Caenorhabditis elegans: one gene and its partners. The protein of the gene in region 2 purifies or fractionates together with the protein of the main gene of each other region. This does not show direct contact. Each region holds a gene or a part of one and is shown on either strand. Other genes may lie near its edges. The genes, in order: Y54F10BM.3, eelo-2 and C02F12.8.

Evidence for each region.
Region 1: the proteins of eelo-2 (region 2) and Y54F10BM.3 fractionate together in Caenorhabditis elegans (co-fractionation; one large-scale study listed by BioGRID). This does not show direct contact.
Region 3: the proteins of eelo-2 (region 2) and C02F12.8 fractionate together in Caenorhabditis elegans (co-fractionation; one large-scale study listed by BioGRID). This does not show direct contact.

The regions. Positions count from the first base shown.
Region 1 is NC_003281.10:2,278,834-2,286,042, forward strand, and holds the start of Y54F10BM.3 (Tyrosine-protein phosphatase domain-containing protein), read left to right. Parts: upstream 1-3,191; 5' UTR 3,192-3,252; coding exon 3,253-3,325; intron 3,326-4,261; coding exon 4,262-4,313; intron 4,314-4,365; coding exon 4,366-4,440; intron 4,441-4,963; coding exon 4,964-5,258; intron 5,259-5,397; coding exon 5,398-5,551; intron 5,552-6,400; coding exon 6,401-6,599; intron 6,600-7,164; coding exon 7,165-7,209. Other genes in the region: Y54F10BM.21 (uncharacterized protein), read left to right, coding at 276-390; Y54F10BM.23 (uncharacterized protein), read right to left, coding at 560-724; Y54F10BM.22 (Neuropeptide-Like Protein), read left to right, coding at 2,088-2,251, 2,753-2,888.
Region 2 is NC_003282.8:17,247,326-17,257,009, forward strand, and holds eelo-2 (Peptidase M3A/M3B catalytic domain-containing protein), read left to right. Parts: upstream 1-2,805; 5' UTR 2,806-2,807; coding exon 2,808-2,876; intron 2,877-2,931; coding exon 2,932-3,026; intron 3,027-3,074; coding exon 3,075-3,174; intron 3,175-3,222; coding exon 3,223-3,301; intron 3,302-3,350; coding exon 3,351-3,502; intron 3,503-3,562; coding exon 3,563-3,700; intron 3,701-3,941; coding exon 3,942-4,036; intron 4,037-4,083; coding exon 4,084-4,188; intron 4,189-4,545; coding exon 4,546-4,728; intron 4,729-4,777; coding exon 4,778-4,879; intron 4,880-4,899; exon of another isoform or gene 4,900-5,026; intron 5,027-5,094; coding exon 5,095-5,238; intron 5,239-5,514; coding exon 5,515-5,765; intron 5,766-6,173; coding exon 6,174-6,292; intron 6,293-6,341; coding exon 6,342-6,512; intron 6,513-6,558; coding exon 6,559-6,846; intron 6,847-6,945; coding exon 6,946-7,077; intron 7,078-7,332; coding exon 7,333-7,428; 3' UTR 7,429-7,639; downstream 7,640-9,684. Other genes in the region: mfsd-8.1 (Major facilitator superfamily (MFS) profile domain-containing protein), read left to right, coding at 42-219, 652-754, 853-993, 1,344-1,450, 1,591-1,837, 2,076-2,247; gtf-2E1 (HTH TFE/IIEalpha-type domain-containing protein), read left to right, coding at 7,978-8,043, 8,098-8,154, 8,207-8,305, 8,359-8,507, 8,552-8,630, 8,682-8,791, 9,071-9,358, 9,407-9,508 and 1 more.
Region 3 is NC_003284.9:3,688,021-3,695,944, forward strand, and holds C02F12.8 (uncharacterized protein), read right to left. Parts: upstream 5,219-7,924; 5' UTR 5,214-5,218; coding exon 5,112-5,213; intron 5,059-5,111; coding exon 4,807-5,058; intron 4,485-4,806; coding exon 3,975-4,484; intron 3,657-3,974; coding exon 3,187-3,656; intron 3,139-3,186; coding exon 2,831-3,138; intron 2,786-2,830; coding exon 2,526-2,785; intron 2,472-2,525; coding exon 2,310-2,471; 3' UTR 2,123-2,309; downstream 1-2,122. Other genes in the region: Putative protein tag-278, read right to left, coding at 1-74, 121-440, 517-623, 1,101-1,124.

The DNA of each region.
Region 1 (7,209 bases), on a different chromosome or scaffold from region 2:
AAAATATTGTTTAAGAAAAGTACTAAAACTACAGTACCCCATGAGTTTTCGCGGCGGGACCCAAAATTTAATTTTAAGGCCGACATTTTTTTTTCGCAAAAATTTCAAAACGTTATAACTTTCTCAATTTTTCAGATTTTCAGTTGGTTTTTTACTCAAATGTGACTAAAATAGGGTTCATTAGAATGAATTTTTTATTTTTCAGAAAAGTTCAATAACTACAGTACCCCATGAGTTTTCGTGACAGGACCCTCATTTTTCCTATTTTTTTCCAGATGCGCTGACAATGCTATTAATTCAACAAACTGTGAGGAAATATTAATCAATAATTCAATACCTTCAAGTAATTTATTTTCAATGTTATTATTGTTTTCATTGATCTGGGTGTAAATAAAAACTTGATATTTTTTGATAATTTTGGGTCCCGCCACGAAAATTCCTGTATTTTTTTTTGTGATTTTTTTATTGGATTGAAATTCAATACTTTATAAACAAATTCAAAACAAGATTTTTGAAGAAAAAAAAATTAAACAAAAAATCAATAAAATGAATTTTTAAATTATTTCAAAGAGTCCTTGATAGCTCCAAATGGTCCTTCTTCGGGGCTCCAAATGCCTCCAAAAATCTGATGAGGTGGGCGTGGAGGAGGAGGTGGAATTCCTATTACAGTAGAGCATATTATAGAAAATATAGCAAAAATCTTGAAAAGTAGGGAAAAAATCATTTTTTTTTAAATTTTTTTCTACTTGCCGAGTTGAATTTTTATATACTGGTGAGATGTCAACAATTTCAAGCCAAAAAAACCGGTTTTCAGTAGCCAGTTTGCTGAAAATGGGAGGTGGAAAAGACGAAAATAAATTGATCAAAATTCAATTTAAGTACACATTTTGGGACATAAACTACAAAAAAGTAAATCCGGAAACGTAAAAAAATTTTTTTTTGAAAAATTTGGAAAAAAAATTTTTGGAACTTTTTTAAAAATTTTATAACTTTGTCAATTCTCAAGATTTTTGGCTCAAATTTGTTTTGAATAGTGCCCAAAATGTTTTCCTATACAATGTAATATTGTAGTTAACAAAAACCCGTAAAACTACAGTACCCCAATGCTTTTCGTGAGAAGACCCAAAAATTTTTTCGAAAAAATATTTGTTTTTCAAAACTTTATAACTTTGTCAATTTTCAAGATTTTTGACTCAAATTTATTTTTATTAAAGCTCTAAATATTTTTCTATGAAATCTGACAATAAAATTTAAAACAATTTATAAAACTACAGTACCACAACACTTTTCGTGGCGGGATCCAAAAATTTAACAAAAATTTTTTTTTGATTTTTTTTCAAAACTCCATAACTTTGTCAATTTTTAAGATTTTGAGCTCAAATTTATTTTGAATAGCGCTCTAAATGATTTTCTTTAAAATCTAGTACAGTAATTCATAGCAACTCATAAAACTACAGTACCAAAAGACTTTTTAAGGCGGGACCCAAAAAATTTTGAAAAAATTTTTTTTTCAATTTTTTCAAAACTCCATAACTTTGCCAATTTTCAAGATTCTGAGCCTAGATTAGTTTTAAATAGTACCCTCAATATTTTTCCATAAAATATAACATAGGAATTTACAAGAACCCGTAAAACTACAGTACCCCATAACTTTCCGTGTAGAGACCCAAAAAATTTTTGTTTTTTTTTTTGAAAAATTGGAAAAAAATTTTCAAAATTTTTTTTTTCAAACTTAAATTAATTTTACTGATTTTGTTGAAGTTTTTCGCTATATTAAAATTGATTTTAAAAAATCTGCACCCATTGCTTAGGTGCAAAATGTATCCCTCTACCCCTTTTCAGGTACACTAAGAATTCAGCGAATTCAGATTTGCCAAACATCAAAACAATGGAATTTTTCATTGTTTCTCACGTGTAGCAACTGATAAAAACTGATAAAAGATATCAAAATTGATCCTATGACGTCATCATGTCTTATGACGAATTCCACCCCCCGCTGACTGTGAGAAAAGTATTTAAAAACTTGATTTTTCAAGTTTTTCCCTAAAAACTTTTTACACTTTCTCTATGTAAAAGTTCAAAAAAACATGCGAAAAACTACAGTAACCTTATTATTTTTGATATTTTTTATTCAAATTTCTGAAATTCTGACTCTACCTATCAATTATGGTGCATCGTTGAACTCTGTACACTCGGATGACCTGAGTGCTGAGGATTATCAAGTTTTGAGGAAAAATGAGACAAAAATTGAGTAAGTTCATTGATTTTTTGCTAATAGAAAGGTTTTTGAAATTTTGGAAAAATTAAAAAAAAAATTTTTTTGAAAAAAACTTGTTTAAAAATAATAATTCCGCCAAATTATCGATTTTTTTGGTCGAAATCTCAAGTTTTAAATGTTTTCTTTAATTTTATTGAATTCAGCGTCATTGATTACCCCTATCCCAAAATTTTGGGCCTTCTAGCTCAATTTTCAAGAATTGGCTGAGTAGCGACCCATTGCGATACGGAGTTTGGTCAGTTTTAGTGCAAATGGCTAAAAATTTAGGATTCTGGGTTTCCAAGTATGGCAAATTTAATGATAATGTTAGTTTTTCAAAACTATGACTCCGTATCGCAGTTCTGAGTCGCTACTCAGCCAAATTTCAAAATTTTGAGATTTTGAGCTAGAGCTCTGAAAACCTATAGATAAGGGTAATCAATCACGCTGAATCCAAAAATAACTTCTAAAACCAAAAATTTTAATTTTTTCCAGAAGAATCCACAGAATTCAGCAATTTTTCAAAGCGGAGCACCACGAATCCACGTGGCGAGACTCGATTTGCAGTGCATTCCACTCGTTTTCACTGTTCCCGCCAAACTGCTTTGCGGCTCCGCCAAACGACAAATAAATCGATATTATTGATTTATGAAATGACATGATTTTTTTCTACGACGCACAATAAATTTTTGTGATTTTCTGATTTTTTTTGATTTTTTTTTGGGTCTCGTCACGAAAAGTTGTGGGGTACTGTAGTTTTTACCGGAATTTCTAAAATTTTTATTTTATCTTTTACGTGGGTAGTTTTCGCACATTTTAAGCCAAAAATGAACAAAATATCTCAAAAACTAAAAAAGTTACAAAATTTTTAAAAAATTGAATAAAAACGTAAAAACTCAAAAATTGCCAAAAAACATTCCACGTCGGGAACCACGTCGTTTGATTTTCGAAAGTCGATAAATCGATATTGAAAAATTTATTTCACAATATTCAAGATGAAATTGTGGTCGATTTTATTGGTGACCATATCGATTTTTGGCATCTGCCACGTGGAACCATATGAGCTAAGTAAGTACGGGGGTTTGACGCCAAGATACGGTTCGATTCTACAAAATTATCGGATTTTTCGGGAAATTATCGATTTTCTTGAGAAATTATCGATTTTCTGGCGGAAATATCGATTTTCTTGCTAAATTATCGATTTTCTTGCGAAATTATCGATTTTTTCGCGAAATTATCGATTTTTTCGGGAAATATTGATTTTCGGGAAATTATCGATTTTCTGGCGAAATTACCGATTTTTCGCGAAATATTGATTTTTTCGCGAAATATTGATTTTCGGGAAATTATCGATTTTTTCGCGAAATTATCGATTTTTCGCGGAATTATTGATTTTCTGGCGAAATTATCGATTTTCTTGCGAAAATATCGATTTTCTTGCGAAATTATCGATTTTTGGCGAAATTATTGATTTTCTTGCCAAATTATCGATTTTTCGCGAAATTATTGATTTTCTTGCGAAATTATCGATTTTCTCACGTGTCGAAAAGTTGCCCTTATTTTTTATTTCTGTCAAGAATGCAATTTCAGGATTTAATATAGGAAGAGGCAGATTTTCTTGCGAAATTATCGATTTTTTCGCGAAATTATCGATTTTTTTCCCGAAATTATTGATTTTCCAGGAAATTATCGATTTTTAAAAAATTATCGATTTTTAAAAAATTATCGATTTTTAAAAAATTATCGATTTTTAAAAAATTATCGATTTTTTGCGTAATTACTGATTTTCGATAAATTATCGATTTTTTCGCGAAATTATCGATTTTTGATATTTTCGATGAACACGTGGAGTTTGTTATTTATTTCTTTTTGAAAATGACGTGGAGAGGACGGTAAAAAAAAGCCACGTGGCCATTGCGATTGCGAAATTATCGATTTTTGATAATTTATCGATTATTCGCGAAATTATCGATTTTTCAACAAAAATTTATTGATTTTTTCCAGGTTTCGTCGATTGGCCTACACCCGCCCCGCCGACCTCAACAACTCCACCAGTGTAAGTCTATCCGTTGTCCCGTTAGTTTATCCCGATGACCGCTCTTTTTCAGATCCTCAACCAAACCACCACCTGCTGAACAGTTTAATTCGCTGACCGACATTCTCGACCTAATTCCAATCGAAGTGTAAGTTGTGAAAATTTGACATCGATAATTGCTCGGCGGCGAAAAATTGGTTTTTTTTTTTCGAAAAATCGATAATCTATGTTGATTTTATTGATTTTTTTGGTCGGATTTTTGAAGAAAAATCAATAATTTTTATTGATTTTTTGTTCAAAAAATCGATAACTTGCGTCATTTCTTTTATCGAAAATCAGTAATTTCGCAAAAAAATCGATAATTTCGCAAGAAAATCAATAATTTCGCAAGAAAATCGATAATTTCGCGAAAAAATCGATAATTTCGCAAGAAAATCGATAATTTCGCAAGAAAATCGATAATTTCGCAAGAAAATCGATAATTTTGCAAGAAAATCGATAATTTTGCAAGAAAATCGATAATTTCGCGAAAAAAATCGATAATTTCGCGAAATTATCGATTTTCTTGCGAAAAAATCAATAATTTCACGAAAAAGTCGATAATTTCGCGAAAAAAATCGATAATTTCGAAAGAAAATCGATAATTTCGCAAATTTTCTGTAATTTTTCAGCTGGCTTGTTGTACTTTTCCTGGAATCTGCGTTTGTTGGAGCATTTGGAGCATATTGCTACTGGAAAGTTCAACAATGGCGCGACGAGAAAATGGCAAGGGAAAAGGCTTGGGAAAGGCGTCTGGCACGAGTTTCTGAAGTTTCGGCTTCGAAAAATCGAAACGCTGGAGGTGTGGATCCTGCAAAAAGACCGAGAGAATCAGCCAAATGGCTGAAACATGTAAAGGAGGTGACGCTGAAACGGGGTGGAGTCGAGCTGCTGCCGATGGAGGATGTGATCGTGAAAAATAAAGAGGTAGAGATTTTTCCGAAAAAATTTGAAAATTTACGTGTCAAAAATCAAGGAAAAATCTTGAAAATGAACAAAGTTATGGGTTTTCGAAAAAAAAATTTTTTTTTGAAAATTTTTTTTGTAAAAAAATTTGTTTTTTCAGAAATTCAAAAAGCCACAAAATGAGCTTCGAGAAAATGAAGTGTGGGTGGAAAGACAAACGGGCCCTGATATTGATAAAGATTCGGACCCAAAGACGGAAAATGCATTGGATGAGCAGGATTATCAGCTGGAAGATGGATGGCACGGCAAGTCAGGTATGGTTTTAAAATCAGGTTTTAAGAAATTTTACTTTAAACATTGCAAGTTATTAAATTAAACATTAAACTCACAAAAAGATTGCGCTCATTTTAAGACTATATTCAATCGAATATCTTTAAAATTCGCAGAGTTATGTAGTTTTGAAAATAAAATTTGAAAATTTGAAATTTTTTTTTAAATTTTTATTTTCTTGAAAGCTCGAGCTAACTTTCAATTCAAAACCGATTTGGCGTGAATTTTCAGATTTAGCACGCCTAGAGCTTTCAAATAACACCCATCATGACTAGGTTTCGCCTGTTTTGGGTCCCCAAGTTTTCAAAGTGGACGGAGCTTAGTCAATATGGGTGTTAAATGGAAAGTCTTGACACGCTGAATTAAAAAATGAGCAAAAAATTGTAAAAATTTTTTATGTTTTCCAAAAATCTCAAAAAAAAATTTTTTTTTTTTTAATTTTTTTCTAAATTTTTAGACTTTTTTTGCACCAACTGAGAAATAATTAACAAATTCAAAATAATCACATTGAGACCTTTAAAATAAAACCCATCATGACTAGGTTCCGCACATTTTGGGTCCCGCCACGAAAATGCCGCCGGGAGTACTCTGGTTTTCGTGGTGGGACCCAAGAATTTGCAATTTTTAATCTGAAACGTTCAAATCGGTTTCGTAGAAAATTTTAAAAGTTTTTGAAACAAAAATTTTGAAAAAAAATTTTTTTTTCGAAATTAATTTTTTTTGGAAATTTTGAAATTTTGTTTTTTTTTCTACTTTCAAGCCAAACAGTCCAATTTTCATTCAAATTCAAAATTCCAATTACAGTAACCTACAGTAACCTACACAAATTTCAGCTCTCAACATCACACGTAAAGAATTCAAAAAGCTGTTCACCAAAATGAGCTATAGCCCGTCGATGTGCTCTATCATACCGGGAAAAGAACGCGATCCGTCGAAAACTGTAATCGCAAATTGGTTCGAATGGTGTCAGCCAGAATTTGAAATTCCGATTGAGCTGACAGCGATGAGCGCAGGAAACCCCAAGCTTTGCAGGTGATTTTTCGGCAAAATTTTTTTTCGGCTGAGGAATTTAGAGTTTTTAATTCGAAAATTAGATTCAGCTGCTCATTAGCTTTCAAATGACACCCATCATGCGACCGCTTTGGGTCCCGCCACGAAACCCAACCTGGGGTACTGTAGTTTTCGTGGTGAGACCCAAAATGGGCGGAAGTTAGGCATGATGGGGGTCATTTTGAAGGTCTCAACGTGCTAAATTCAAGTTTTTAGATAAAATTTAAAGAAAACAGATACTTTCTGAAAATTTTGAAGTTCTAAAAAAAATTTAAAAAACTTTTTTTTTAATATTTTAATTTTTTGAGACCAATTTTATTAAACTTCCAAAATAAGAAAAATTCTACATTTTTTTTTTTTTGAAATTTATACATTTTTTGTGCGTCAAAGCCAGTTTTTGGGGGGGGGTCATTTGAAAGGGTATGACGTGATAAACTTAAATTATTGCACAAATTAGTAGAAACCAAAAAACTCTTCAAAAAGTTGAAAAAAAAATTCTGCAAATTTTTTTATTATTTTTCAAATTTTTCAACGTTTTTTTTTCCAGAGACCCAAAAGTTCAAGCATGGGATTCAACATCGTACTTAGTTGA
Region 2 (9,684 bases):
CAAGCTTTCAATGCTCGACTATTCATCTTCAAAAATTTCAGGCATTCTTCACGCCACTCGGAGAAACAGGCTTCAACATTTGGATAGTTAAAATCAATATGTACACTTCGGCAGCTTACCTGATGGCGTTCATTTGTGTGCTTGCAGCTGTTTTGATGTTGGTCTTCTTTCAGGAAGATTATGCTGGAATTATTGATAAAAATTCAAGTGATGAGAAATGTAAGTTTTGATGGGAAAAGAAACTGCAGAAAAATATTAAAATTTCCGTTTCAAAAATTTCGGTTAAGTCTAAGTTTTTTAAACTTATTCTATTGTTGTATTTTCCAATTTTCGTTAAAAGTTGCAGCAACTTGCCTTGCCAATCTTCAGAAAAAGTTTTAAAAGTTGATTTAATGTAAAAAATATTATGTTATTACGGGAACAATAAATCATGATAATGCGTACTTGGAGCATTTTATTTGACGCGCGATATCTCTTAGCGAAAACTACAGTATGAACTCAAATAACTATTGCTATTTGAGTTCTTACTGTAGTTTTCGCTAAGAGATATCGCGCGTCAAATAAAATGCTCCAAGTACGCATTATCATATTGTTCCCGTAATAACTATACGTTTATTAAAAAAAAGATAATTTTTCATTTTTTTTTTTCAGGCAATGCGGACTATGTTGTGGTGCCGAAATTCGATTTAGTTCCGGCATTAGTTTGTATTTATTTGTACATGATTGTTAGTATGATTGCTACAAATATTGAAGTGTAAGTTTTTTTTTCGAATTTTTCCCCTGTTTCAAAACTAAAATTTCTTTTAAAACATCTAAGCGTTCCACTTATCTTTAATCAAAAAAAAATTTCAGAATGTCTACTCCATTGACAACTGTTCTCTACGATTGGAAAGATTCTCAAGCGATTTTGTACAACGGGATTATAGAATCAATTACCTGTATTGTGTCGGTTTTGATTAATTTTGGAATTGGAAAAACTAGAATTGGAAAGATGTGAGTTCTTTTTTTTCTAGAATACTTGTGATTTTTCAAATTAAATAGACACGGGGAATTATGTTCTAAAAAAATTTCAATTTTTTCACTGTTTCACTGACCAGCTTTCAGCTTGGACAGCATTTCGTGTTCACTGATCTTTACGGGCTTACGAAGTTTTCTAAAAAAAAATATTGTGAATTATTGCTGTGACAGGCGCTCAGCGTGTTAAAATTTTTTTTCAGCAAATTTTCAAATTTACAAACAAATAGAAAATCTAACAGTTTCACATCCCCTATTTCAGTTGGAAGATTTTTTTTCGATTAATTGTTAACTGCTTTTTGTCTCATATTGTTATAACATATTTTCAGTGACAAAAGAATTCAAATTCTATTCGGATTGGGTGTATTCGTCGCATTCCACGTGGTCAACTATCCATGGTGGTTCTACTCGGGACCTCTGCACTTTTTGCCGCCAGGTAAGGGTCTCGCCGCGAATTGATTTTCAAAGTTTTCTCAGAAGTATGATTTATTTGAATATATGGAATCTAGAATATGTTCCACAGTGACTGTTCTGGAAAATGTGAAACATTTTAGTTTTAAATTATACTGATTCTAGGTTCCAACACAACTATTGTCGGTGGATGCCTTGATTCATATTCATGGTGCAACACGACAACTCGTGTCCCTATGGCTCTCTACATTTTTGCATTTGTCTTCTTTTTCGGAATCGCTTTCCCATTTGTCGAGTCACCGGCCGCCGCACTTTATTCAGAGATTTTGGGTCCACGGAAGCAGGGAACCATGCAGGGATTGTTCAGTTTTGGTGGAAGTATCACGCCATTTGTTGCTTCGATTATTATCACGTAAGTGTTAATTGACTTTAAACTAATTATTTAAAATAGTCTGAATTTGAGTTTGGATGCATGAGTATTTAGAAGGATTAGTATCGAGAAAGAGTTTAAATTTTATTTGTTAAAAACTTGAAACAGAAAAAAAAATTATCACAAAAACCTTTTTTCACGAAAACGGATTTTTCTTCTAGTACTGTTCAATTTGATATTCTCCATCCTCAAAGAGTAAAATTAAAAAAAAAAATTTCAGATTCCTATTCCAACATTCCGGCTACAAATACGTCATCATCCTACAGTCAACCACAATTTTCATTGCATTCATTCTGATGGGTGTATTCTACAAAAGACTTGTTCCATTGAAATTAAGACCAAAGTCTGGAAAGTCTGCAGAGTATAAAAATGGAGTTTATTATTATATGTAAACTCTATTTTCATGAAAACACGGAATCAAGATTCTAACATACATAACCAAGTTTTAATTCATTTTTACACATTTTCAATTGTTTTTTTAGATGTACCACAAGATCTCACTATTCGAATTTTCATATGTTTAGTCGTTTTTTTTTTCTTTAAATTTAAATAAACTCATAAGTATTTCATATTCCTTTGTTCAATTTTTTCGAAAAATAAGCGCTGATTGGTTCGAAAATGGGTGGGGAACTCTATACGTGTGTAGAGTTTTTCTCAGAAACTCGATTCAAACTGCCTCCAAAATCCAATTGTGCGTCAACTCTCGCGATGTGCGCCAGCAGCTGTCTGCGTCAATGGAGCGCGCTTGCATTTTCTGCGTTCATCGCGATTTTTTTCTGCGTTCAGTACTCATTTTCTGCGTTCAGTACTGAACCACCGTGCATCGTTTCTATTTTATTTTTCTCCGCATTAATCAAGTTTTCACCATGTTTGGACAATTTTATTCAGGAGAATTCTCGAGAATTTATTAAAAAACAAAAAATAAGAAATTTTAAATAGATAATTTGCAGGAATGTTCCGTAGGATACCCCTCGGGAGGTTTCTGACGCGAAAAATCCATAATCAAACCAATGGGCTGATTGTTAGTCATTTTCCACTGATTAAAAATAGCTTAAAACTGATTTTTCCACACACAGGTTCCAACAACAAATGTTCAAAAGCAACAAAAACGACAGATTCTGTTCAAAATGGGGAATGAGACGCCGGCGCGAGTGGTTGGATATTATGTTGTGTGAGTTTTTTTCGAAAAAGTGATAAAAATTTACATTTTAATTTTCAGATTTCCCGTAATTCCCGAGGAAACCGTGGAGAACAACTGCTTCATGTACAATATCGCTAAAAATGAAGATTGGCCGAAATTGGCCACCGCCGAGCCCAGGGTAGCTAATTTTTCTGGATAAAACTTTAAATTATTGGTTTTTCTTCAGGAACTGTATGAAGGAACCGTTCGAATGCTCATGGACTACGGAGCCACTGTAATGGAGCACATGGAGCATCTTGCAACGTGTAAGATCTGTGAAATCTGAGAAAAAACCAATTTCAAATGTATTTTCAGTACCAGCAGAAGAGCGAAAGTTTGAAAACGTCGTAGAACCATTGCTTACGGAGGAATACGAGGTCAATTTCGCTTTCCAGACACTTGTGCTGAAAATGCTCACGGATTGGCCTGATTGTAACCGAAAACTCTTCGATGCGGACCTTCACCATGTAAAATAACAGAAAATTTCATGAAATTAAGTGGAAAACCTAAATTTTTTTAAATTTTAGATCAAAATCATGTGTGCCCGCGATCAAATGGAGAAGTTAACCAACAAGGACTTCCAGGACGCCATCAAGCAGCTTTATGAGGCAAAAGATGGACTTTCCGAGTGGCAATCGAGACTATTGGAGTGGTATTTGCTCGAGGTGCCATTTTAAATATTTTCTAACGAGAATATGCCTGAAATTGACTGGAAAAAGTGTTTTTCACCGATTTTGAAATTAAAAAATTTGATTTCTGCTCAGAAATCATAGAGACTGTAGTTTGCTAAATAGAAAGCATCGATTTTAACTCAGCAAAAGGATATTCCGTCTAACTTTCCCAGGAAAATTGTAATTTTTCAGCTAAGTTCGCGGATTTTCTGGCTGAAATAAGATCAATTTGCAGATAAAAGCTTCTGGATTGGACAAACACGACGATAAAACGCGTAAGGTTCTCGGATCCTGGAGCAAATTTGTCGACGAGTACAGGAGCAAGTATATGTGAGTTTTAAATGGAAGTTTTCAGCTTTTAAGCGGCTTTTTTTCAGCACCGGCGTGATGTCAACCAACGATCAGCAGACATTTGTCGTGACGGACCAAAAAGTGATAAAAGATGCACCTCCACATGTTTTACAGAAGCTCGCTGTTGATGAGTAGGTTTTTTTAGTAGCAATTGGCGAAATTTTTTTAGTAGCAATTGGCGAAATTTTGTTGAGAATTCGTTGAAAAGTGGTATTTTTAAGCTAAAAATCGAAAATAAGCTCCAAATTTTCACAATTTTTATGCTTTTCACTAGAAAAAAATTGAAAATTATCAGAAAATCGTGAGAATTATTATCAAAAAGTACTAGACGAAATTGTAATTTTTTCTGCAAAAAAAAGTGAAAAGGTAAGAACTTTCTGTAAAATTTTTCAATTTTCTCTAACCATTAAAAATGCTCAATTCTCCAATTTCACTCAAATATTCCCACTTTAAACTAAATACTAATTCAGACTAATTTCTTTTTTCAGACAAAACTGGGAATCAGGACCATGGCGTGGACGTATGACACCTCACACAATCTACCCATTTATGCAATATTGTGGAGATCGTCAATTGAGAGCCACCGCATGGGAGAAATGGACGAGTAAAGCTGGATTTGATCATGATTTCTACAATAATTCAATCAATATCGAGGAGTTGAGACATAATAAGTAGGAATCCGATAAGGAAAAATAATTGAAAAATGGCTGAATTTTTCAGCGAAGGACTCGCCAAAACGCTTGGATATTCATCTGTTGCTGAGCACCGACTTGCGAATAAAATGGCTGCCTCGCCGGAGACAGTTAGAGGATTTATCAATGCGTGAGTTTTAGAAAAAATACTGAAAAATTGTTTTTTTAACGCTGAAAATTTCCATAAATGTGAAGATTTTATTTTAAATTCAGCTTTTGACATTTTACCAAAAAATAGCCGGAAAAAAATTTAAAAAGAACCCAAATCTAACAGTTTTTGACAAAAAATTTTTATTTATACCGAAAAGCATGATATTCCAAATTAAATCAACTTTTTTCTTGCAGTCTTCAACGTAGAATCCGGCCTGTAGTGATTGATCGTATGGAGTCCTGGTCCGCATGGGCTGGACGTTGTGAGCTTATCACTGGCGAGCTTCAGGCCTATGATATGCCATATGTGTGCAGAAAAGAGGCAGAGCATCATTATGAGTAGGTTTTTTTTTTGAAAAAGTATTGCCTGCCGGCCTACGCCTGCCTTTCAAAGGGGAAGTCGTAAAATTTGCAATTTTTTGGTATTTTTAGAGGTATTCGGATGATTTGAAGCTTTTTTTTTCTAAACTTCTAAGTGTTACGAATTATCGGAAATTCAAAAAAAAAGGTTTTCAGATTTTTTTTTCAGTTGAAAAGCTCAAACTTTTCATTTTTTCGGTAATTTTAGAGGTATTCAGAACATTTTTAAAAAAATTTTTAACTAATTTTTTTCAGTGTCAACCCACTGGACCTAATGAATCACTTCCCATTCTGGCCAACATTCCAAAATATAATGGGAGTCATCGGACATATTTTCAATTTGGAATTCAAAGATATCACCGATAAGGGACTCGAAAAAGCGCATGCTGACGTCCGGATCTACTCGGTTGGCGACAAGTTCAGCGGACAACACTATGGAAGATTATACATTGATCCATATGATCGACAGAATAAACGAGGAGGATGGAATGTTATGCTTGCGAGACGTAGGTTTTGAAGAATGCTGAAAATTTGGAGAGCTCGAGAAAAAATTTGGAAAATCACCTGAATTTGTATCGAGTTTTTTAGAAAAAAATTAGAATTTAGACATTTCCTGTCGGAAAATTCAGTTTCGATTTTGTTTGAAAACTGAAAATTTTTGATTTTTGTATTTTTGGAACACTTCATTTTTTCCATCGAAAAAAATATGAAAAGACAGAAAAAGCGAGGGAATTTTAAAAATTGTCTTTTTAGAATAAAAATTAGAGGAAAAAATTCTCCTCGTTTCAGACTATCTGGCTTTTTTTTCAAATTATTTTTGCAAAAAAATTCTTTCGAAAAACGTTAATAGAATAAATTCTGTTCAAAAATAACTGCAAAAAACAACACAGGTTAGTTAACAAATATATTTCCAGCGGAATCCAAAGAACGAGGTCTCGACAAGATTGTGTACTTCATCGGCTCAGCAATTGCTCCAACTTCCAACGGACCGTCTCTTCTCCATCACCAGCAGCTTCAGCAACTTCTTTTCCATGTCAGTAGTCGAAATTTTGGGTTTGAATTTAAATTTTCGAAATTTCCAGTTTGGCCGAAGTGTGCAGCTTCTTCTATCACAATCTCCATACCGTGATATTTCAATTCCATGGTCTCCATTCTACGCATCTGACTGGGATGCAGCTGACATGTTCCCAACATTCTTGCAAATGTTCGTCACGAAGCCCAATCTCCTTGCAACAATTAGCTCTCCGCATCAGGTATTTTTAGTCGAAAATTCTTGAAATGTCTGAATTTCTGTTTCAGATCACAAAGCAATCGTTGACCGAAGAGCACGCAAACTCGGTGGCTCTTACGATCTCACGAGCATCACTCTGGGAAACCTACCGTACCCTCTTCTGGTCGGACTTTGATCTGTCGATTTACGAGATGGAGGACAGGAAGCAAAAGTTCTGGCTGGATATGTACAAACAAATGTATGAGGAGTATTTCCCGTTCAAAAGAGCCAAAAATGACTATCAACCGTGCTCATTCACACCGATTTTTGCTCTTCAACCACATATGAGCATGTATTATAGGAAGCTGTGGGCTGAGGTGAGGTGGTTTTCCAGTGTTAGAAAATCATCAGAATTTTGATAAATACTTTTAAAAAAAATTATCTCAATTATTTCTGAAAATTGGCTCAATTTCCAGATGCTCGCCTTAGATATCCATGAGACATTTGACGAGGAAGACAATGAAGTGCAAACGGGAGAACGATTGAAAACGACAATATTGAATAGAGGAAGTGGAGATGTTGCGAAGGAATTGTTCAAAAGATTCCAGGTAGGGGAATCTTCTTTTTTTGACTGAAAAATTGGTGAAAAACGGCATTAAAATAAGCTGAAAATCTTAAATTCTGCATGGAAAAATCTCAAAAAATCGTATTTTTTTAAAATTAGAACGCTTTAATTGAACTCTATTTTTACAAGAAGAATTCTAAAAGAGTTCCAAACAATTACTTTCATTTTTTAAATTCCAGAAAAATGAAGCCATTATTTAATTTTTTTTAAAGAAAAATATTCATTTCCATTTTTTCAGGGCCGAAATCCATCAGTCGGAGCCATCTGTGATCACTACGCCCCACCAATGGCCATTCAAGATGAAATGGAAATGTCGGAGAATCAGAGACGATGAAAATTCCCCCCCGGTTTTTGGAGATTTTCCATCTCTTTTTCGCTTCTCACCGGGTTTTCACATATGTTTAGATGATTTTTTTTCTGTTTTTGTTATATTTTTTTGATAGTCTTAAGAAGAAATAGGGTCTCATAGATTGTTCTCTGTTATTTAATGTTTTTCCCCTCATTTTTAATTTTTGTTTTACTTCAGTAATGAATTCTTTTCTTTTTGAAAATTTATCGTTTTTTGAGATATCGTTTTCCAACGATTGAAATATTTTTGTTTTGAAATTGAAAAAAATGTTTATGTTTTTTATTTAACAGGAAAAAAATTGAATTTGTTTTTGAAAATTACCTTTTCCAGGACATTGTGTTATTTTTTTAAAACCAATTTTTGAAATTTTTACTTTTTTTTGGAAATTAAAAAAAAAACGATTATTCCATTTTTTTTTTGGATATTTTTGAGCTGAATTATTTTTAATTTAAATTTTGCTCACTTTTTTGAACAAAAATTATAATTTATTGATCAAAAATTAAAATTTATTCCAAAAACTAAATTTTTCCAGGCATGTCATCTGGCCCAGCGACCTCCGGCTCATCATCGGCTCACACCGAGACCCAAGTGGTGGATGAGGTAACATTTCCGCGAAAAAACCCACTAAATCTGACTAAAAACCGTCTTTTTCAGATTCCGGAGGCACTCAACACTATATTGCTGATGGTGGTAAAGAACTTCTTCTCAAGTGTAAGCGAAAAATCTGATTTTTCAAAAAATTCTTGAATTTTTAATTTTCCAGGAGCACTTTATCATCGTCTACCACATAATGCGAGCCCAGTGCATTCGCGAGGAAAATCTCAAAGCCCGAATACAATTCGATCAGAAAATGCTCAGACAGGTGTGCTGAAACTTGCTTGAAATTCGAAAATTCAAAAAATTTGACAATTTCAGCTCCTCGCGTCTCTGAAAGCTGAAAAACTCGTGAAAGAGCGCACGATTACGCAGAAAAACGAGAATAATCGAACGGTTTCCATCATTTTCTACTATATAAACTATCGGGCTGTGCTCAACGTGGTGCGCTACAAAATCGATCACATGAGGTGTGAAAATATAATTTTTTCACTGAAAGTTTAAAATTTTCCAGACAAAAACTCGAGTCCCGAGAGCAAATGGACACAAATCGAGCTCACTATCGATGTGGAGCGTGTCAGAGTTCTTATGATGTGAGAAAATTCTTTTAAAATAGAAGAATTCTCTGAAAAAATCATATTTAGATGCTGGAAATCAATCGGATATTGGACGCTGAAAGCGGGCGGCTTATTTGCTGGCGGTGCCACGGAGATGTGTTGGCGGATGAGACGGTAGTACCATCGAGGACGACGAGGTACTTGGAATATCCTGAAAATCTGAAAATTCGGAAATTTCTGGGTTCTGAAGCGAAAATTATTATGAATTCTGATCGAGCTCAAAGCGACGAATTGAAAAATTTTCAAATTGACAGATTTTTGAATTTGTTAAATTAAATCTACAGTACTCTAAAATTTTTTGCAATTTTGAGCTCCAAAAAATTGATGAAATTTTACTGTTTAGGGTCTCCTTTCAAAAAAAAACTTCGGGTTACTGTATCTGCATATATATTTTTTTTTATTTTTTAAATTTCCAGAACCGCTGTGGCACGCTTCAACGAACAAATGACACCGCTCTTCTCTCATATTTGTGCTCTAAACGGTATCCAATTGGCTCCGCATCTCCTTGAACCGGATATCACGAAATATTTGGAAGATGACAAAGAACTGCAACTACAGCAACAACAAATGGACTTTACGTCGGGTGGAGGTGGTGGTGGACGGATACAGTTGGGAGGAGTCGCTCATTCTTATCAAAATATCGCTTCGATCAATTATCAGAATGGAGATGCAGTTTTTGTGGATTTAAATGCGGATATTAATAAGTTAGTGGCCATAAGTAGAAAAATAAACTTTGATTCTTAATATTTCAGGGGTCCTGTGGAAGAAGCCAAAATTATGCCAGAATGGCTCAAGGATAATGCAATAGGCGGTGGTGAAGCTTCACACAATGAGCATGTACTGGATCAGGCCAAGTACTTTTAAATGGCTTAACTTTTATATTTCAACAATGAAACCTTTTTTCAGAACCGAGGAAGAAGAAACATCAACGAAACAGCGACGTTATGGACCATCTCTGGACTATCTGAAGGAGATTGAGTGCAGTTCGGAGGAATCTGCTCCAAATGTCAAAATTGAAGAGCCACCTGCC
Region 3 (7,924 bases), on a different chromosome or scaffold from region 2:
TTCATACTCTGCCACAGTTTCTTCCAGTGTTTGAATTTTCCTTTTCAATTCGGTTTCTCGTCCAGCTGGCTGAGCTAGAATAATTTAATTGTTTCCAACTTTTCAATATTTTACACGTACGTGAATTATTTCTAGAAGTATTTCTCGATGATTCTCTTGCAACATGTGACAATTTCAAAATTGATAGCAATGAAGTGTTATCAATGTCATGCCTAGAACTTGCTCGTGAATGTTGGCTAACTGGAGATATTGGAGATGGTGAAATCGGGCCACTTGGTGCCCTCCGCAAAACTGGTGACGGGGGAGCTGGTCCTCCGACTGGTGTTCGAACATTTCCAGAGAGGCAACCTAGTTGATGCGCCGGTGGAGGTGCAGGCCAAGCAGCGATTTCAGGATGGGATTGTCTTACGAAAGGTCGAGTCACACCTACGGCTGGTTCACTGGAAAAAGAAAACGTTAAGGGTAAGGAGGTATCAAGTATCACATTTCGCAAACGAAAAGGAAAATGAAACTCACTGAGTTCCATGGGGCCTTGGAGATCTGCTCATTCTTCTAGGTGATCGACTTCCTGATGGAGATGCGGATCGGAGACTTCCATCAAACTCTTCGGATAATATACCAAGCTGAAACAGGTTACTACTAAAAGTTCAAGAAAAACAGTTGATGTTGCTGAGAAACCATCAGTTAGACTTAAAGGTTGAGTAAAAATCCGTTCTGAAAAATTCTAAAAAATTGTTGGAAAAAATACCTATTTTCTCAGGTTTTACACACTTATCGGTATCGAAGCGGACATAATCTTATTGTTATATAATTACGACTTTTTGTACCACATTTTTGTATTTTTACGCGTTGATTCATCGAATTATGCACCATATTTTCAAGTTAAGAAAGATTAAAATTTCAGCTGAAACTGCGCCTTTTCTCCAAAACTTCGAACAACTATAACTTTTAATTTGAGAAATATTTCGAATTTTTCTTAGCGAAACTTGGATAGCTGTGCATATAAATAAAGGCAAACCTTTAGGCTTACAATGCAGTAGCATTTTTAAAGCACACAGATTGGCTTAGTTTGAAAGCCTAATCAAATTGAATTTACTCACTCTTTCTCGTAAGCGCTCTGACATTGAAAAGGGCTTTGACAGCCCTCTTTAGACTGATTATCTGTGGTTAAGTGATGACGTGGCGCTGAAAATAGTTGAATTAAGTTTTATGTCTAGAACTAGAAAAAGTAAACGAAAAAATAAATAAGAGAACAGTTATATAAAAATAAATTAGGGATTCCTTTATCAGAAAATACAAATTCAGTAAAACAAAAGGTATAGAAGCCTAGAGGTTCTCGATATAATAGACAAGGAGTGATTCAGAAAGAGAGATGTAGAAGTGACTGGACACTTCCGAACGAGCAACTGTTCAAGAGAAGAGACTAAGAGATCCGGATAGAAGAGCCAACTGTTGCGCCTTGTAGTCGACATGATACTACTCAACACCGGCGGTGGATATACGAATGGACGTTGTGCCACTCACCCGGGAGGGGGAGAAACATCGAGACTGCTATATCAGATAATGAGTACGCACACAGCAGTGCACATAGGATACGTTGACAAGACCCGATGAATGTGATGACGGTGAGCATAACGCTGCCGAAATGTGTACGGATTGATTGAAAAATAGATTAAGGGGGCTATCAATTTAGATTTATTGCTTTAATTTTTCAATTTGTTGTAAGCCATAAGGAAAAAATGAGCAAAAGTTGTATCCTCTTCGATAGCGTTTTTTTTTTTCAAAAGATTTCGTCAGCCTAATTTCAAAACATACAGATTGGATAAAATGTTTCAATTTCAAAAATATTTCGTAGACAAAAATAGCTATATTTAACTTCTTCATCTAGTTTCACTTAAGCACGATCTCTTTTGATTTTTTGATTTTGATTTTGATTTTGGGAATTAAATGTTTGAGGTAATAATAAATAATCAACAAAATAATAATGTCCGTCTGTCCAGTTTGCCTAATTTGTTTGTGAAGTCAAAAACGCGTCTCTTGAGTTATTCAACCCTTTCTAAACTTGAATTTAAAATTGGTAGAAGTTTGAAACTGGTTAGAGCCTCTGAAAAGATGAAGAAATACAAGACTAGACATTTTTATTCTAAAAATCTCAATACATAAATTGATTTACCCATAAAGTCAATAAATTAAAATTGAAGACAATGACACGTAATTAAATGGACTGAAAAATACAACTGAATGGTCATGGTTAATCACAGTTAAAACATCTGATCACTGGGTACAATGTGTACAAACAATAACGGAATCTAGAAAAGGTTGAAGAAAATTTCTTCGTAATACTCTAATTTGTCAGTAGAATCGCTGGTGAGACCGGCCAAAAAGCATAGTTCCGGAAGAATAGCTGGCGGCAAGTTCAGCTGAAGTTGCTCGTAGATTGTAATACGCGAGAGACTTTGCGGACGTTGAACCTGTAAATAGTCAGTTTGAGACACTTAAAAGTACCAAAATTCATTAAAACTCACCATTTTGAATGCCAAAATGCGTTTTTCAATAAACTGTAACACTTTGTTCATTTCATTCGAATTTTCTTCCCAAGTTTTCACAAAAGTATCCACCGTTTCATAGAATTTTTGATATGAGAAATTTTCGTGAAAAATTGGACGACCCGATTCTGAAATCTTCTTTGCTCTGTTAGCAATTGCCATTTGAACTGCATGCAGGATTTGGGGACTGATCAACGATGGCGGTGGATTCGAGACGGGTCTTTTTCCTCGCTTCTTTTCTGAAATTGAAAATATTAGTACCAAATGGCGATGATGAATCTCACTTTGGTCTTTCTGTCCTGAGCTTGAGTAGTCACCACCAGCTTGCTCCACATGCTTCTGTCTTTCTCGATATGCTGCTTCCAGTACATCGTCATCAGTTTCCAATTGATTTGCCTTCTGTGCAGCCATAAGGCGCTTTTCTTTTTTTGTCAACTTTTTCCTGGCGTCGGGTAGAGCAATAGTTGATGCTTCTTTGCTATCCTCGTCAATGGTGGAAGCGGCCAAAGTCTGCTGACATTTTTGCAATGGTTTTTCGACTTTTGACAATGGCAGCGGGTAGACGAGTTTTTGTGTTTTCTGTGGTACAAAACTGAAAATTACAGAATTTATCATTTTAGCAGTAATATCAAAAAATCACCATTTCTTCCTGCCCGTCGCCTCCTGCCATGATTCCAAAACGTCATCCGACGTATCCAGATACTTAATGATTTCAGATATTGACGTATCCCTGTCATCATCAACAATCAACGAGTCAGTCGTCATTTCAGATACAGGTTCAGATTTGATTTCAACTACGCTCATGTTATCCGAGTGTTCCAAAGTTTCCGGCTCAATCAGTGTTTTCGAAAGATCAAGGTTCTCCATTATATCATCAACATCATCTAATGGTGGCATTTCAGACATTGTACTGCTATAAGGTTCTGGCTCATTTGCAACACTTTCCGTGTCTACTGAATCCAAGTCGCAATCTTGCTGACCAACAGGCGTCAACGTTCCATAATCTTCGTCTTCCGATTCTTCCCTGACACTATCAGTCATGGGTGATAACGAACCATTTCCAACACTAGATCCATTGATGGGCGGTCTGCTGGACATAGATATGTCGCTCTGAAAAAACCATTTTGTAATATAGCATTATAAATTAGTCAAGTGCTGCGTGAGTGTGTTCAAGTTTAAACATTTGATCATTATCACTTTCAGGAACATTTAATGATAGTTGTCATAAATTTAGGAGTGTGTCTGATATTCATGGTCAGACAAGAAGCGGGTTACTAAAATGGTTTTAGATGCAAACCAGTTAATCTCCCAACTTTTAAATTTTTCATATAACTTCCCTAAAAGCGGTCATGTTCAAATTTTCAAATTCTGGCATACCCAAGCAGCAGTTAAGTTGTTTTTGTTGTAGTCGATAATATTGTTTATTACCTGTCCGGAAGAAAACGATTGTGATGAGCATACTGATGATCCCGATTGTGACATGGAAACGACGCATACAGGTGCGCTGACAACTCGACAATATGCAACTCCATTGTTATCATAAATAATGTCTGGGAATCCTTCGTTGGCAGGTGGACCAGAATATTGACTGTAAGACGGTGATGGAAAGATGGGAGACGAGAATCCATATCCAGAAGGTGGCTTTGAAGTATCAATTTGAGGTGGTGACATTGAATACGATCCTTGCGAAACCATTACAGCTCCGACTGGCATCATGGTTGGTGGAGCTGGCACAAATTGGGGAGGATTGTAATTCTGGGAACCAACAGGCACGTGTGGATGCATAGGCTGGTTTACAATCTGTGGGTGTGCAAATCCTGAATTCGACGCTGCCAAATCCATAGTGTATGGAGGAACAGGTTGCGGAAAGACGTTTGGATTTGATGCAAACTGTGCCGGAGGTGGCATGTAATTACCATGTTGAGCAAATGGGTGTACCTGAAAATTGCAATTGTTTCAAAGTTTTAAAGAAATTCTTATGGCCTTGGGGTTTTTAAACAGTGAAAAACTACATTTCTAAAAATTAAAACTTGTTTACTCCTCTCGATTGAAAAAAAAACCGATTTTTTCCATTAAATCAACGAGTTTCTAAAATCATTAAAAGTTTAATTGTCAGCTTTTAGTTTCGCCGTTCGCTTAATTTTTATTGCAATCTAGTATTCCCATTTCAAAAAATTATCAACGAAATAAGCTTTCAAATTGCCTGAGATTGGAAATTCTCAATATCTCATGAACAAACTTTTCAAATTGAAAAACAAACCTTAAATGAAGCATCCAACGTGCTCACCAAATTGTTCTGATATCCGCAATTTTGATAAGGATTTGGGCACTGATTATTTTGGACGGGAGCGGCGAACTGTTGCTGCATGAGATCATCAACGTCTTTTGAGTTCAACAGAACCTCATTCTCAAAATTCCACAGCGCAATAGGATCATTTGATTCAAAAGCTCTTTGAACGATTTCCCCGTAACTTGGATCCAGACGATGAAGATTATTGTAGGAAAAGAGAATCTGTAAAAAATTATTATATATAAGAATATACAAACGCTCTAAACATTATGTACCTTCTCCAATTGATTTCTTCTTTGAACACTATTCCTGAGAAAGTCCTCATGTACTTCACTCGAGTGTCCTTCGGTTTTCCAGCGAGATCTATCGTTTTGCATAGCTTCTGAACAAAGTTAACATGAAAATTTGTCAGAGTTTAAAACAACTGATAGGTGCAATATTGAGAGCCTGTTAATAATTGAAAATTTAAATTGTAGGAAAAACCGAATAAAAAAAACATATAATTTAGTGCTTACAACATTCAGTTTTACTATTTATTTTATGAGTAAAATTATAACGAATAGAAGCTGGCGGTGTCACATTTCAAAACTAGATCAAAAGATTTGCTGAATTAAAATAAAAAAGAGAAATGTTATAGCTATTTGTTTGTTTTTAACCTACTCTTGTTACCGCAAAAAAACATTGTGAGCATTTTACACAAAATTATATAATTTTTGAATTTCCTTTGCTAGTAATTGTTGGGAAAAATCAAAACAAATTCTTGAAGCTAGATTGCATTCCAAGTAACATGGTTAGTTCAAAACATAGAATTTTATGAGAAATTCAAACTTTGAAAGAATCATGCATCGCGTTGGGGCTCTCGAAAAATAATGTCTAGGTATCTAGATAGCTAGATTCATATCATAGCTATAGATTTAATTTTTGCTTGTAACTACAATTGTGGAAAAATGGGAATATAAGAGTACCATTGAAAAAAATAGCACAATGTATAAATTGCACGGTTGGCATGCAAAATTTTGGTTGGAAATTCAATGAGTAGAGCTAAAAAAGTTTTAGTTTTGCCCAAGGATAAAAAAAAGGAAACCTGACTCAATTTCTGTCAGTGGAATTTCTAATTTGGTTAGTGCATTCTGATTTGGTCAGTGCAATTACTAATTTGGTCAGTGCTTTTCGACTTTGGTCAGTGCTTTTCTATTTTGGTCAGTGCTTTTCTATTTTGGTCAGTGCTTTTCTATTTTGGTCAGTGCATAATTTTAATTTCTAACCTATTATCTGATTGAAAAAAAATTAGGAGGAACGAAGTTGAAAACTGAGGTGAACAAATGAAAGTGAAAAGACGCGCACGCAGGTGGTGGTGCTTAGTGTTTATCGTCACCCACAACAATAACTGGGTGGGTAATATGGTGAGGAAGAGGACTCGTTGGACAGGGCAAAGGGCCCCTCGGCGGATGCCACGCACGCAGCACACAAAACCCCCCTACATTCGTTCGCGCGCACACTCATAGAACACTCACACACACGCACACACACGCTCACATATAGCCAACTGCACCCCCACGTCAACAAAACACAAACACACAAACACGCACACACATGCGCTCACACGACGACACGGCATCCAGAGGCACTAGCGCAGTTAATTTTTGACGCTCTAGACTAACAATGGGACTCTTTTAACTCAATGAACATATGACAAATGTTCACGGATTCTCGTGTGATTGCGCACGAAACAGAGCGTTACGGTGGGCGCAAGGCCGTTACGGAAAATGGTAATGACGGTCATAGGTCCAATTATTATACATATGTGATAGTAAAATGTAAACAAAAACTAGCATGTTCGCAGTAAGTTTCAGAATGTAGAGAAGAAAACAGAAATCTATGTGGAAATATAATCTAGCAATCATCCTGGAACTTATCAAATGCTTTCAATGTACGACAGGTGCTAAAAAATGTAAAAATGTAGCAGAAATTTCACAGAAAAGGTAAACTAAAATCATAAAAGAACTCGCACCCCCAATTTCGCAAGAATAATTGTAAAAAAAAACAGAAGGGAGGTCATGGATATTTTTAGTGCAGCGCGAGTAGATCAAAAAATTTTAATAAAAATTGCATCACAATTTTAATATTTATAATTGCTTTAAATGATAGAAAATGGGCTGTAAGGACAGATTACGACTGTAAAAAAATTATAAACTTTTTCTAAATTTTTTATGATTTCGGCCGAATTAAATTTAAATTTCTGCGCAAATGAGTGACGTCATTTTTTATACTTTCGCGTTCTCTCGCTTTCTTCGCCGTTTTTTTTTTTAATATTTTTTCTTCTATATCTTCTATATTTGATTGAAAATTTGATAACACAAAATACTTTTGCGGAAATTTCAAACTTTGCCCAAAAATCGACAGTGGAGTTTTTCAAAGATTTTGTTTTGGGGAAAAATATTTGAAAAAAATGGCGAACAGAGTTTTGAAAGTAATTTAGTAGAAAAAATCTAGAAAACCGAAAGAATTTAGCCAGACAACGCAAAAATATCGAAAATAGCGTCACTCATTTGCATGGGAAGTCAAATTTAATTCGGCCGATTCTTTGATTTTTGAAAATAGAAAAATATTTTAAAAAAATCATGAGAAATCTAAATAAATTTTCTACACTTTTTACAGATATATTCGATCATTACAATCCATTTTCTATCATATAAAGCGAATTTTTATTTATTTATTTGACTCTACTCCACCTTTTAGTTTGAAAATTGCTAAAAATTTACATCAATTTGCAACAAATCTCGAGAAAACAAGTTTCGAAAATTTTTCGAGAGGTCTCATACGGATTAGAAGCAAAAACTACACCAAGTTTTTTTCCAGAAACTAACATCTACTGCTATTTTAAAAATTGATACTTCACACTCTTGACATAATGAGCGATTAATTTGAATTATGAATTCATTGAACTTTTTGTTCTGCTTGAACGTCAGAATGTACTTTCTATGGCAACCTTTTTATGCGTTCGGGGCAAAATAATCAAAGAGTAGATTTACAAGTATTTCATAACAACAAACGTAGTAAGTTTCTTGAAAATTCTGTTTGGTAGCAG